Sus scrofa: one gene and its partners. The protein of the gene in region 2 purifies or fractionates together with the protein of the main gene of each other region. This does not show direct contact. Links are inferred from orthologs where the notes say so. Each region holds a gene or a part of one and is shown on either strand. Other genes may lie near its edges. The genes, in order: POLR2G, RPAP2 and RPRD1A.

The links.
Region 1: the proteins of RPAP2 (region 2) and POLR2G purify together in Homo sapiens (affinity purification with mass spectrometry; 5 studies listed by BioGRID and IntAct, counting the BioPlex papers as one, with this or other methods). This does not show direct contact. The link is inferred for Sus scrofa from reciprocal best matches to the Homo sapiens genes RPAP2 and POLR2G.
Region 3: the proteins of RPAP2 (region 2) and RPRD1A purify together in Homo sapiens (affinity purification with mass spectrometry; 3 studies listed by BioGRID and IntAct, with this or other methods). This does not show direct contact. The link is inferred for Sus scrofa from reciprocal best matches to the Homo sapiens genes RPAP2 and RPRD1A.

The regions. Positions count from the first base shown.
Region 1 is NC_010444.4:9,005,777-9,009,973, reverse strand, and holds the start of POLR2G (DNA-directed RNA polymerase II subunit RPB7), read left to right. Parts: upstream 1-1,342; 5' UTR 1,343-1,482; coding exon 1,483-1,494; intron 1,495-1,605; coding exon 1,606-1,715; intron 1,716-3,075; coding exon 3,076-3,235; intron 3,236-3,893; coding exon 3,894-3,944; intron 3,945-4,197. UniProt on the Homo sapiens protein: Core component of RNA polymerase II (Pol II), a DNA-dependent RNA polymerase which synthesizes mRNA precursors and many functional non-coding RNAs using the four ribonucleoside triphosphates as substrates.
Region 2 is NC_010446.5:124,756,915-124,760,565, forward strand, and holds part of RPAP2 (putative RNA polymerase II subunit B1 CTD phosphatase RPAP2), read right to left. Parts: intron 3,012-3,651; coding exon 2,913-3,011; intron 2,699-2,912; coding exon 2,633-2,698; intron 261-2,632; coding exon 172-260; intron 1-171.
Region 3 is NC_010448.4:119,799,494-119,803,144, reverse strand, and holds part of RPRD1A (regulation of nuclear pre-mRNA domain-containing protein 1A), read left to right. Parts: coding exon 1-29; intron 30-3,207; coding exon 3,208-3,314; intron 3,315-3,394; coding exon 3,395-3,492; intron 3,493-3,651. UniProt on the Homo sapiens protein: Interacts with phosphorylated C-terminal heptapeptide repeat domain (CTD) of the largest RNA polymerase II subunit POLR2A, and participates in dephosphorylation of the CTD by RPAP2.

The DNA of each region.
Region 1 (4,197 bases), on a different chromosome or scaffold from region 2:
AATCGGAGCTGTAGCCACAGGCCTACGCCAGAGCCACAGCAATGCGGGATCCGAGATCCGAGCCGCGTCTGCAACCTACACCACAGCTCACGGCAACGCCGGATCGTTAACCCACTGAGCAAGGGCAGGGACCGAACCCGCAACCTCATGGTTCCTAGTCGGATTCGTTAACCACTGCGCCACGACGGGAACTCCTGAACTTTTTTTTTTTTTAAGGGCTGCACCTGCAGCATATGGATGTCCCCAGGCCAGGGTCCAACTGAAGCTGTAGCTGTCGGCCTACACCACAGCCACAGCAACAACAGATCTGAGCGGCGTCTACAAGCTACACCACAGCTCACAGTAACGCCGGATCCTTACCCACTGATTGAGGACAGGGATCTAACCAGAGTCCTCATGGATACCAGTCAGATTTGTTACCACTGAGCCACGATGGAAACTCTCTATTATGATCAATTTTAAACATACAAAAGTAGAAGGAAACATATAAAAAGCCACAGTTTATCCATCATCTGGCTTCAACAATCATTAATACATCGCCTGGAGTTCCCCTCCTGGCTCAGCAGAAACGCATCTAAGCATCCATGAGGACTCAGGTTTGATCCCTGGTCTCGCTCAATGTGTTAAGAATCCGCATTGCCCTGAGCTGTGGTGTAGCTAGCAGAGGGGGCTCGGATGTGGGATTGCTGTGGCTGTGGCACACGCAGTTCCATGGCTACAGCTCTGATTCGACCTCTGGCCTGGAAACCTTCATATGCCACGGGTGCAGGCCTAAAAAGACCAAAAAAAAAAAAAAAAAAAAAAAAAAGTCATTGCCAAACTTGTTTCATCTGCACCGCTGCCTTTTTTTTTTTTTCAAATATTCATTTAATTTTAAGACAATTACATTTTAATAATGGCTGTGTTTAAGAATTAGCTTGCAAAATTCCTGAAATAGTAACAGTTGGCTTTTGCAGGGGCTCCAGCACACCACTGTCAGCAGGTAAGTTTGCTCTTGCAGGGAGGCTGGCTTCAAAAAGAGGGAAGGAGAGGGGTCAGGGCTGCTGTGGTCCTGGCCTCCGTTCTCTCCAGATAAGAACAGATAGTTATTATGCTTACTCTGTGAAAGCAGTCTTCAACTGTTTGCTGAATGAATATATTCTGCTAAAGCGCTTTATTTATGACGTCTCTCATTAATTAAATCCACCGTTTGAACTTCTTGTCTAGACCTGGCCTTGCTAATTTGTGAGCGTCCTGTGCTTTTACAGAGGGTGGACTGGACGAAGGGGGAGGAGCTTCGTGGATTTCCCCGCCCACGAAAACGGGGCCCAATCAAGTCCGCAGACGAGACGTGTTCCCGCCCACCTCTCTGGGGCAGGCCCGGAAGCGGGATTGGGGAGGTTGGTGTACTTCCGGTCCTGCCGGGGGTTTTGCTGCTGCTGCTGTCGCTGTTTTAAGCCTGGCTGCTCTCGGCCTGGCTGCTGTCCAGCCTCCTCCGGGAAGATGTTCTACCATGTGAGCAGGGCCCGGGGTGGCGGCAAGGGTAGGGTCGAGAGGAGGAGCGAAGCGGAAGGCCGGGAGTAGGGGGCCGCTTCTTGCCTGGTCTCCATCCCACGTTCTCCGCAGATCTCCCTGGAGCACGAGATCCTGCTGCATCCGCGCTACTTCGGCCCCAACCTTCTTAACACCGTGAAACAAAAGCTCTTCACTGAAGTGGAGGGGACCTGCACCGGCAAGTGAGTGTCCCGCTCTCCGTGCTGCCTGAGCAGTGCGCCCTCGGCGCCCGGTGCCTTCATCCCCTCCTCAAGTCCTGAAAGTTTGTGCTGTCTACCCTGGAGAGCCCTCTCACCCACCCAGACGGCCCAGGCAGTCATTTGCTTCCTGCTTCGGGTTCCCATGATGCCCTCTGCGAAGCTGGATAACGGGACTAACTTCCCTCAGCCAAGATTGGTCATTCATTTACTTTACAAACATTTCCAAATCTCCAGCTGTGTGCCAGGCTCTGTGTTGGGCCCTGGGAATAATGCAGTGAGAAAGACAGAAGCGGCCAGCTCGAGCTCATAGTCTCTTTGGATTTTGCTGGTTTTCTTTATCCCCCACGCCCAGGGACCTGTCATGGCACATTGGGCTTCACTAAAAGTGTGTTGAATGAGGGAGTGACCAGGATAAAGCAGATTGAGAGTTAGGGGGAGGAAGGAAGAGCACTGACGTTTGACCGTCTCTTTGCTCTGCACAGAGGGACCTCTCATCTGGTGATGTAGACAAACCAGGATGAGCAGGGCCATGGAGTACTTGGGGCTCCAGCATCAGAGCAACTGGGGGTGTCTTTTGAACATACAGGTTCCTGAGCCTCATGTCATCCTTACAGCATCCCCATATCTCTGGGGACAGGCCTGGGGATATGCATTTCATATATATATATGTATGTTTTTTTTTTTTTTTTTTCTTCTTTTGCTGCACCCTTGGCATGTGGAAGTACCTGGGCTCAGTAGGTTAAGTATCTGGCATTGTCATTGTTGTGGCGTGGGTTCTATGCTTGGCCTGGGAATTTCTGAATGCCACAGGCCAAATAAATTTTAAAAAGAGATTGAGGTCTCTTGGCTCAAGGACTGCAGCCCTTTTGGACACTTATTGTGAACTTATGAGATCAGCATTTGGCTTTGTAGATGCTGGTCATTGCCCTGTCTTCTCTCTTGATCATTAAGTTCTCTGGGACCAGGAGTGCCATCTACTTGCCCTTTGTGATGCCCTTTAACCCCCAGGCTCGGTGACTCTTGTGGCAGATTTTTTTTTGTCTTTTTTTGGGGGGCTGCACCTGTGTCATAGGAGGTTCGCAGGCTGGGGAGGAATCGGCACTGTAGCGGCTGGCCTATGTCACAGCCACAGCAGCGCCGGATTTGAGCCACATCTGCAACCTACACCACAGCTCACAGCAATGCCGGCGTCCTGAACCCACTGAGTGAGGCCAGGGATTGAACCTGTGTCCTCATGGATACCAGTTAGATTCGTTTCTGCTGAGCCACAACCAGAACTCCTCTTGTGGCAGATGGTTTTAGAGGCTCTTCCACACCTTTCTCTTTCTCATCCTCCCTGCAGGTATGGCTTTGTAATTGCTGTCACCACCATTGACAATATCGGTGCTGGTGTGATCCAGCCAGGCCGAGGCTTTGTCCTTTATCCAGTTAAGTACAAGGCCATCGTTTTCCGGCCCTTTAAAGGGGAGGTCGTGGATGCTGTTGTCACTCAAGTCAACAAGGTAAGTCCATCCACAGGGCAGGTAATGGGAAGTCCTGAGAAAATCTGGGATGGGCCCCAACTCTTACTTGCTAACTCTGTGTCTTTGGCCAAATCACCTCTTTGTGCTTCAGGTGTCCTTACCTGCCAGATGGCATGGGAATCTTGTCCTGCCTCACTCAGGCAGGTGTAAAATGTAAGTCAACATTAAGAGTCAAAAGAGCAGTAGCTTCCATTGATTGAATAGATCCTGTGCACCAGGTGAAGTGCAAAGCCTCACAATGACTGTGAGGCGAGTGCTTTTACCTCCGGACTGAAGCTTGGAGAAGACTGCTGGCCAAGGTCATGTGGCCGACAAGTGTTCAGATTCCAGACAGACAGGTTCGAGGCCTCAGGTGTTGACTACTACACTCTGTTAACATAAAGTGAAAGTTTGAAAAAGGAGAGATGGGGGAAAAAATATAATTGTAATGTATACATGTAAGGATAACCTGACCCCCTTGCTGTACAGTGGGAAAATAAAAAAAAAAAAAAGAAAAAGGAGAGAAAAATGAAAACAAATGCCAAATTTCAGAGTGGTTTCAAAACATGAAGACTATTATTAGGATGCAGATAAAGACGGGATGCTCAGCAGACAATGGGGACAAAAGAAAAAACTAGGTCATTCATTTCCCTTTTAGGTCGGACTCTTCACAGAAATTGGGCCCATGTCCTGCTTCATCTCTCGACATGTAAGTCCAGGCGGGCTAGGTGGGGCTAAGGAGGAGACATTCATTCCTGACCGTCTCTTTCTTTTTTGGGCTGCACCTGGAGCACGTGGAAGTTTCCAGGTCAAGGATTGAATTGGAGCCACAGCTGTGGCAATGCTGGACCCTTAATCCATTGTGCTGGGCTGGGGATTGAACCTGCATCCCAGCAGAGACTTGAGCTGCTGCAGAGATAATCCTGGATCCTTAACCCACTGCACCACAGTGGGAACTCCCC
Region 2 (3,651 bases):
AAGTGTAAAATCCTTAATAGTTCTGCTTGAGATACAACCATTTCCCCACAACTAAAATGTATACAGTAAATGCATCCCAAAGAAAATCAGACCTGTTCTCTACATATCTCAAAAGGCAGAAAGAAATTATTAGAATACATGAATAAACGTATATGGAATGATTTAAATTACCTTTCTTCTTCTCGAACCCACACTGGAGTTTTAGGAATTTGTGCTTGGAAAAGCTTAGATGCTTTATAACAAAAATTGCTGCAAAAACACTGAAAAGAACATTTAAAAACCAGCAAATTATTTTTCTTATTGTGAAACACACCTTACATGCACAAGAGAATATAAAATATAAATATGTAGTTCAGAGAAAAAAAAACGAAATCCACTGAATCTCCCAGCCAGGGTAAGAAGGAAAGTAGAGAACCTTGCAGGCTTCTACGTGTCCCTCCCTGATGGCATCTCTCTCCGAGTTCCCCAGAGGCAACCACTATCATCACGGGTTCTGCGTTACTCCTTTGCTTTCCTTCAGTTTTGCTACCCACATACATTTCCTATAAAATACATCATTCAGTTCTGCTTACCTTTAAACTTTGTCTACATGGAACCATATAGTTACATATTCCTAGAGTCCTCTCTTCCATGTTATGTTTTTGAGATTCATTTGTGTAGGTATAGTTTATTCATTTATACAGTGTATTATATGTCAATGCCTAAGTATTCCACCCTTTAGTTACTGTTTTTTTTTTTTTTTTTTTTTTGCTATTTCTTGGGCCGCTCCCGCGGCATATGGAGGTTCCCAGGCTAGGGGTCCAATCGGAGCTGTACCCACCGGCCTACACCAGAGCCACAGCAACATGGGATCCGAGCCGTGTCTGCGACCTACACCACAGCTCACGGCAACGCCGGATCGTCAACCCACTGAGCAAGAGCAGGGACCGAACCGTCAACCTCATGGTTCCTAGTCGGATTCGTTAACCACTGCGCCACGAAGGGAACTCCCCTTTAGTTACTGTTAAGGCTGAGTTTTAACTTTTAGTTATCATTACAATGTTACTATGAACCTTTTTTTAATTATAATTTTTTAAATTAAAAACCGTGGTATAATACACAAAATTTATCATCGAAGCATTTTTACCTGTACAATTCAGAGGCATTAAGTGCTTTCTTACTGTTGTGCAACTGTCACCATCATCCATCTCCAGAACTCTCTTCATCTTGCAAGAGTGAAACTCTATACATATTAAACAATAACTCCCCATTTTCACCTCCCCGACTGACAAACACAAGTCTACTGTCTGTCTCTACAAATTTGACTACACATTACCTCATATAAGTAGAATCGTATAGTATTTTGTCTTTTGTGCTGCCTTCTCTTACTTAGCATAATGTTTTCAGATCATTCAGTTGCAGCTTGTGCCCAAATTTCCTTCCCTTTTAAGACCATGTAACAGTCCGTGCTATGTGTGTACATATTTTGCTCACCCTACGAGGAACACTCACACCCTCCCCACTATGTACGTATAGGTTAGTGCACACGGACAAGGGTGGACACAGAAGAAGAGGAGAATGGCCACAAAGACCGTGTAAACTTGACCACCTATTTGACTCTGCCAAGCTGCTTCTCAAAAAGATTGTACCAATTCTTATTGGACCAGAGTATAAAGAGTTACTAATATCGTCAGATTTCTAAAATTTTGCTACTTTAGGGGCTGCAAAAATGTAACTCAGTGTGTTTTTATTTGCTGTTTTCCTAACTACTGATGAGGCTGGAGCATCCTTCATATATTCATGAACCATTCAGATTCCTTCCATAAAAATTTTTTAATCAAGTTTTTTACCTTTTTTTATAGATGATGTGTTCTAGTTATGAATCTGTGGGCAGTTATATGTGAGAAGTATAACTCCTGATTTGTAGCTTACCTTTTCACTCTTTTTTAGAAACTTCTAATAAGCAAACATTTTCAATTGTTTCTAGTCTATGGTCTATAATTTTCTATTTATTTAAGAAATTCTCTCTAGTTGAAGTTGATAAAGATATTCTCCCATAATGTCTTTGAGAAGGTTTGTCTTTTACATTTGGGTTCTTAATCTACCTAAAAGTGAGCTTGTTATATACACAGAGATAGAGTTTTCACTTTTTTGGAATGGATAATTGTGCCACTACTATGTATTTAAAAATCCATCCTTGGGCACAGTCTTTAAGGCATTACATTAGCCTGCTGTGGCCCCCTTCACCTGGTAAAGCAATAAAGCTACCTTTTTCTCCTTCACCCCCAAAAATAAAAAAATTAAAAATTCATCCTCTCTCCACTGATCTAAAATACTCCTGATGTCATATACCCAGTGTCCATGTAAGGAGTGCCTCTGTTTCTGGCCCTCTGTTCTGTTCTATGATTCACTTGCCTGAATTTGTGCCAATATGCACCTTTAATTTTTAAAGGTCTGTATATCAACTAAAGTGTAAGCAAAGAGTTTTCTTCTTTTTTTTTTTTTTTAACATTTTGAATGAAATTATTTACAAATGAAAAACTCTTAATATGGCTATTTTCTACAAGGCGAAAATTTAAAGGCCTATTTTTAGAATCCCATTTAGTGTAATATTATATATCCACTGCCACATTGAAAATGCCTTTAAACTTACCTTTCTTTCAGTAATATCATAGACTTTATTGGTTCTGGTAGAAATTTTGTATTTCTGTTTTGGTACCTAAAGAAAAGAAAATACAGCTTACAAAAAAATTCAAGTAATAAACATGAACTTCATAGTTACCAAGATTAAGTCATCTATGGAGCATATCTTAGGCTAACCCATGTCATTCGTTCATGACCTCAGTTTCATTTATTACTCTTTCTACACAATTTTTTTTGCTAAATATAAAAATTAATAGTCTACATCTTAAAAAAAAAAAGTAGTTACTTACAATTCCTAGCTTCTTCTGACATAAGGGATAGCCGCAGAGTTTGATAATAGCACGCTCGTCCACGACGTCACTGTAGTGAGCAGGTGTGATGAACTTCCCCTGCAGTGAAATGATATGGACATTTCCCATCAGATGACTGGAAAAATTTATCAGCTCTCTAAGCCTCGTCAGTCTCATCTGAAAACACAGGGATCAGAACAGTACCTATCTCACAGGTGTGATGTTAGAAACAGAGGAGAAAATAAAGGAAAAGCACTCAGAAAAGTGCTTCTCAACACACAGTAAATACTCAAAAAATGTTAGTTAGCTATTATTTAAAAAAACTCACAAACCCCCCCCAAATTTCTGCTATGCATCTTTGTAGATTATAAAATTCATGAAATAATTCTGAGGCAGGAGGAAAAAGTAATCTATAGTGATTGCTATAACAAAGGAAAATACTGATAGTGTATTTTATTTCAAAAAAAGCATTACTCAGGAGATCCCATTGTGGCTCGGTGGTAATGAACCTGACCAGTACCCATGAGGATATGGGTTCAATCCCTGGCCTGGCTCAGTGGGTTAAAGGATCTGGTGACGTTGTGAGTTGTTGTGTAGGTCACAGATGCAGCTTGCATCTGGCATTGCTTGACTATGGCATAGGCCAGCAGCTACAGCTCTGATTCGACCCCTAGCCTGGGAACCACCATATGCCACAGGTGCAGCCCTAAAAAGACCAAAAAAGTATTACTCAAAAATA
Region 3 (3,651 bases), on a different chromosome or scaffold from region 2:
ATAGTGGAAGCCTTTAAGCATGTTTCAAGGTATGATGATTGTTTTGGTACTAGGGGATCTGTTTTAAATGCCTAATATGTCCTTTTGCTAAAACTTGCTTTAAGACATTAAAATAAAAAACAATATATTTCTTTGACGTTTTCGTTTGAAAAAGACTTACCTATAATGGCATTTGTAAATGTGTTGAATACTTGCTGTACTCAAGTATGAAAAATTTTTTGGCTAAGGTGGGCGTTTCAAGTACGTTTTCCTTAAGTGACCAGAAGCAACTGCCATATTGGAATAAAATTCACTAAGAATGAATGAATCTGTTATATTGAAAACTTCTGTGCTTATAAAACTATCAATCTTCCAACTAATCCTGCTGGTAAAACTTAGTACTATAATAATTTTAAGGTTTTCTAGTGTGTGGGTACGTATAACATTTTAAAATGCTTTGGAAATATGGAATATTTAAGATAATCACAAACCTGTTGAAAATTTTGCTACAGAAAAACGCTGAAGGTAGAGGTCTGTATATTTCCAAACATTATATGCAAGTATATGGTAGATTACTGGATAAATATTATTGAGGTAGGTGATAATTTAGATTTATAATTCAATTATAAATTTAGTTATAATTTTAATAGTTATAAAATTATGATCTAAATTATAGAATTCAGGGTTGAATGATGATCTATGTTGAATGATTTAAGGATGAAAATATACTCACCACATGCCCTGCAGGTGTAATCACAGTAGATGCATTTTTAAAAATTTCAGTGTGAAACACTGCTATACATTGCTTTCTTAAACTAATATTATTTACCCTTCAACTTAGATGCTGTCTTTTACCATCTTTTCAGGTGCTGCTGTTTTTTAAGAGTTGAGTCCTAGGCCTTCTTCTGGTGTCATATTCTTTACTAGCCCTCGGGGTGATACATACATACATTACATGCAATCAGTTTAATAAAAATAAAAATTGACAGTCTTACATTCCAGTCCAGATATTTTTCCATTGTTTTAGTCCTGTATATCCAGTTGCCTATTGAATTTCTTTCTTCTTTTTTTTGCCACACCCATGGCATGTGGGAGTTCCTGGGCCAGAGATCTAACCCAAGCCACAATTACGACCTGCACCACAGCTATGGCAACACTGGATCCTTAACCTGCCATGCCATAAGAGAACTTCCGCCTATCGAATTTCTAGTTGGATGCCTCCAGCCATCTCAGACTCACTGTTATTGAACTCATGTCCTTCCTCCCTGACAGACTTGGTCCTCCTCTGGGTTCACTCTCTTGATGAATGGCAGCTCCATCTCTCTGGATGCCCCTTTGAGAAATCAGGTGTTATCTTGAACTCTGTGTGATGTAGTGATTTGTAATATATCACACTGTCCTTTCTTCTTCGCTCCCCTTATCCCATGTGTACATATGGTTCCCTCAGTTCTTTAGAGTTCTTTCCATTCCAGTTACCATAATGGCATTTCTCTGTTATTGCAGTAGCCTGCAAATCCATGTAGGAAACTGTAGCCAGAGTTGCAGGCTGTTCATAATACTCTCTTGCCTTTGAGTTGTTCTCAGGTCCTGAGTAAGACTTCAGGTGTTCCTTCATGGCCTAGTCTACTTCTTGGGATTCCCCCATTTTTCCCCCATGCATATATATAGTCTACACAGTTTAAGCTAATCAAACCTCTTTTAGTCCTTTCTGCCTTAGGCTTTTTTTTTTTTTTAAATATATAATGCCCCTTCCTAGAGTTTAATAAAAGATTTATTGACTACCTACTATGTAGTGAACAAGGCAAAGTTCTCTTCTAGTGGAGCCTACGTTTTCAGTGGATGACAAAGGTAATAACTAGATAAACAAGTAAATACATCTTACAGTGTCAAAAGATAAGTACTGTGAAGAAACATAAAGCAAGGAAGGAACTAGAGAGTATGATGATAGTCAGTTATTTCATGAGTAAAGATGGACTGTTTGGGGGAGGTGGTATTTGAACAGAGGGATGAAAAGAGCCATTTGACTATCTGGGAGGAAAGGATCCTAGGTAGAGAAAACAGTGGCAGAAACAGTGAGAGAGCCACATGCTGTAATGTTTGAGAATCAGTAGGGAGAATTGTATTTAGAAAATGTGGGCAGAAAGGTAGCTAGGAAACAACATGTCCACTTTGTGGCCCAGGTTAAGGATTTCACTTTTATTTTTGATATGATTGGTGGTTCTTAGAGGATTGAGAGTATAATCTAATTTACATTAGTGGGAAATAGAATGAAAGAGTAGAGCCTGCAAGACCAATAAGAAGACTGTTATAGAAATCCAGGCAAGAGATAATAGTGGCTCAGTCTACAGTGGTGGTGGTGATGAAGGCAGTGGGAAGTGGTTGGAAATAGCCTGTTTCCCACTTCTCTGTATATCCAGTCCTGAGAACTCAGATTAAATGTATCATTTCCTCAGATACCCTTCCTGATCGCTTTTGAATTGAACCAAATCTCTGTTATGCCTGTGTTTAACACCCAGTTCTCTTTTGTGGCACTTAACAGCTGCCATAAAGCTCCGTTTGTATCACTAGTTATCAGAGGTAGTACTTTGATCAATAAATATTTGTTACATAAGTTTAAAAATCACCCATTAGAAATCTTTCTCTCTCTTTTTTTTTTTTTTTTTTTTTTTTTGTCTTTTTGTCTTTTCTAGGGCCACACCCATGGCATATGGAGGTTCCCAGGCTAGGAGTCCAATTGGAGCTATAGCTTCCAGCCTATCCCAGAGCCACAGCAATGCGGGATCCAAGCCGAGTCTGTGACCTACACCACTGCTCACGGCAACGCCGGATCCTTGGATCCTTAATCCATTGAGCGAGGCCAGGGATCGAACCCATAACCTCATGGTTCCTAGTCCGATTCATTTCTGCTGTGCCATGACGGGAACTCCAGAAATCTTTCTTATCTGCATGTGCAGCCCCATTAGGTTAGGGGTTTCTTGATAACCCCTAGTCACCTCTACTATTTTTTGGTAATTTCTTTGTTTAATAATGTCTCTCTAAGCTCTTTAAGGAAAGTGGGGAGTATGTCTGTCTTGGTCACTTCACCCCTGAACTGCTGATCACATTGTGGTACTCAGCAAACGTTGGTCAACTTTTTTCAGGGAATGAGTGCCATTGTATTTAAAATCACCATTATTTTTGCAGTAGCACTATGCACTTTTACTGTTAATATGTGTATCTTTTCTTTAGTGAAACTGATGAAAGTTGTAAGAAGCACCTTGGAAGAGTGTTATCTATTTGGGAAGAAAGGTCTGTTTATGAAAATGATGTATTAGAACAACTTAAGCAAGCTCTTTGTAAGTATATAATCTTTTATCATTGTCTCTTCATTAAAATGTATTCTCTCCTTAAAACTTTTTCAATTTTTTCAATTCAGATGGTGATAAGAAGCCTAGGAAGCGAACTTATGAACAGATACAGGTGGATGAGAATGAGAACTGTTCCTCTCTAGGATCTCCAAGTGAACCACCACAGGTAGCAGTTTTACTCTGTAAAAGGAGTTACATTACTAGTACCTCATGTACTCACGAAGCTTTATTAATTTCAGTGTTTTACTTCTATATATTGACTTTTATTATAGTTCTGAGTACCAGAAAGAAGCTGTATGAATAAGTCTTACTTTCTGATTAATAA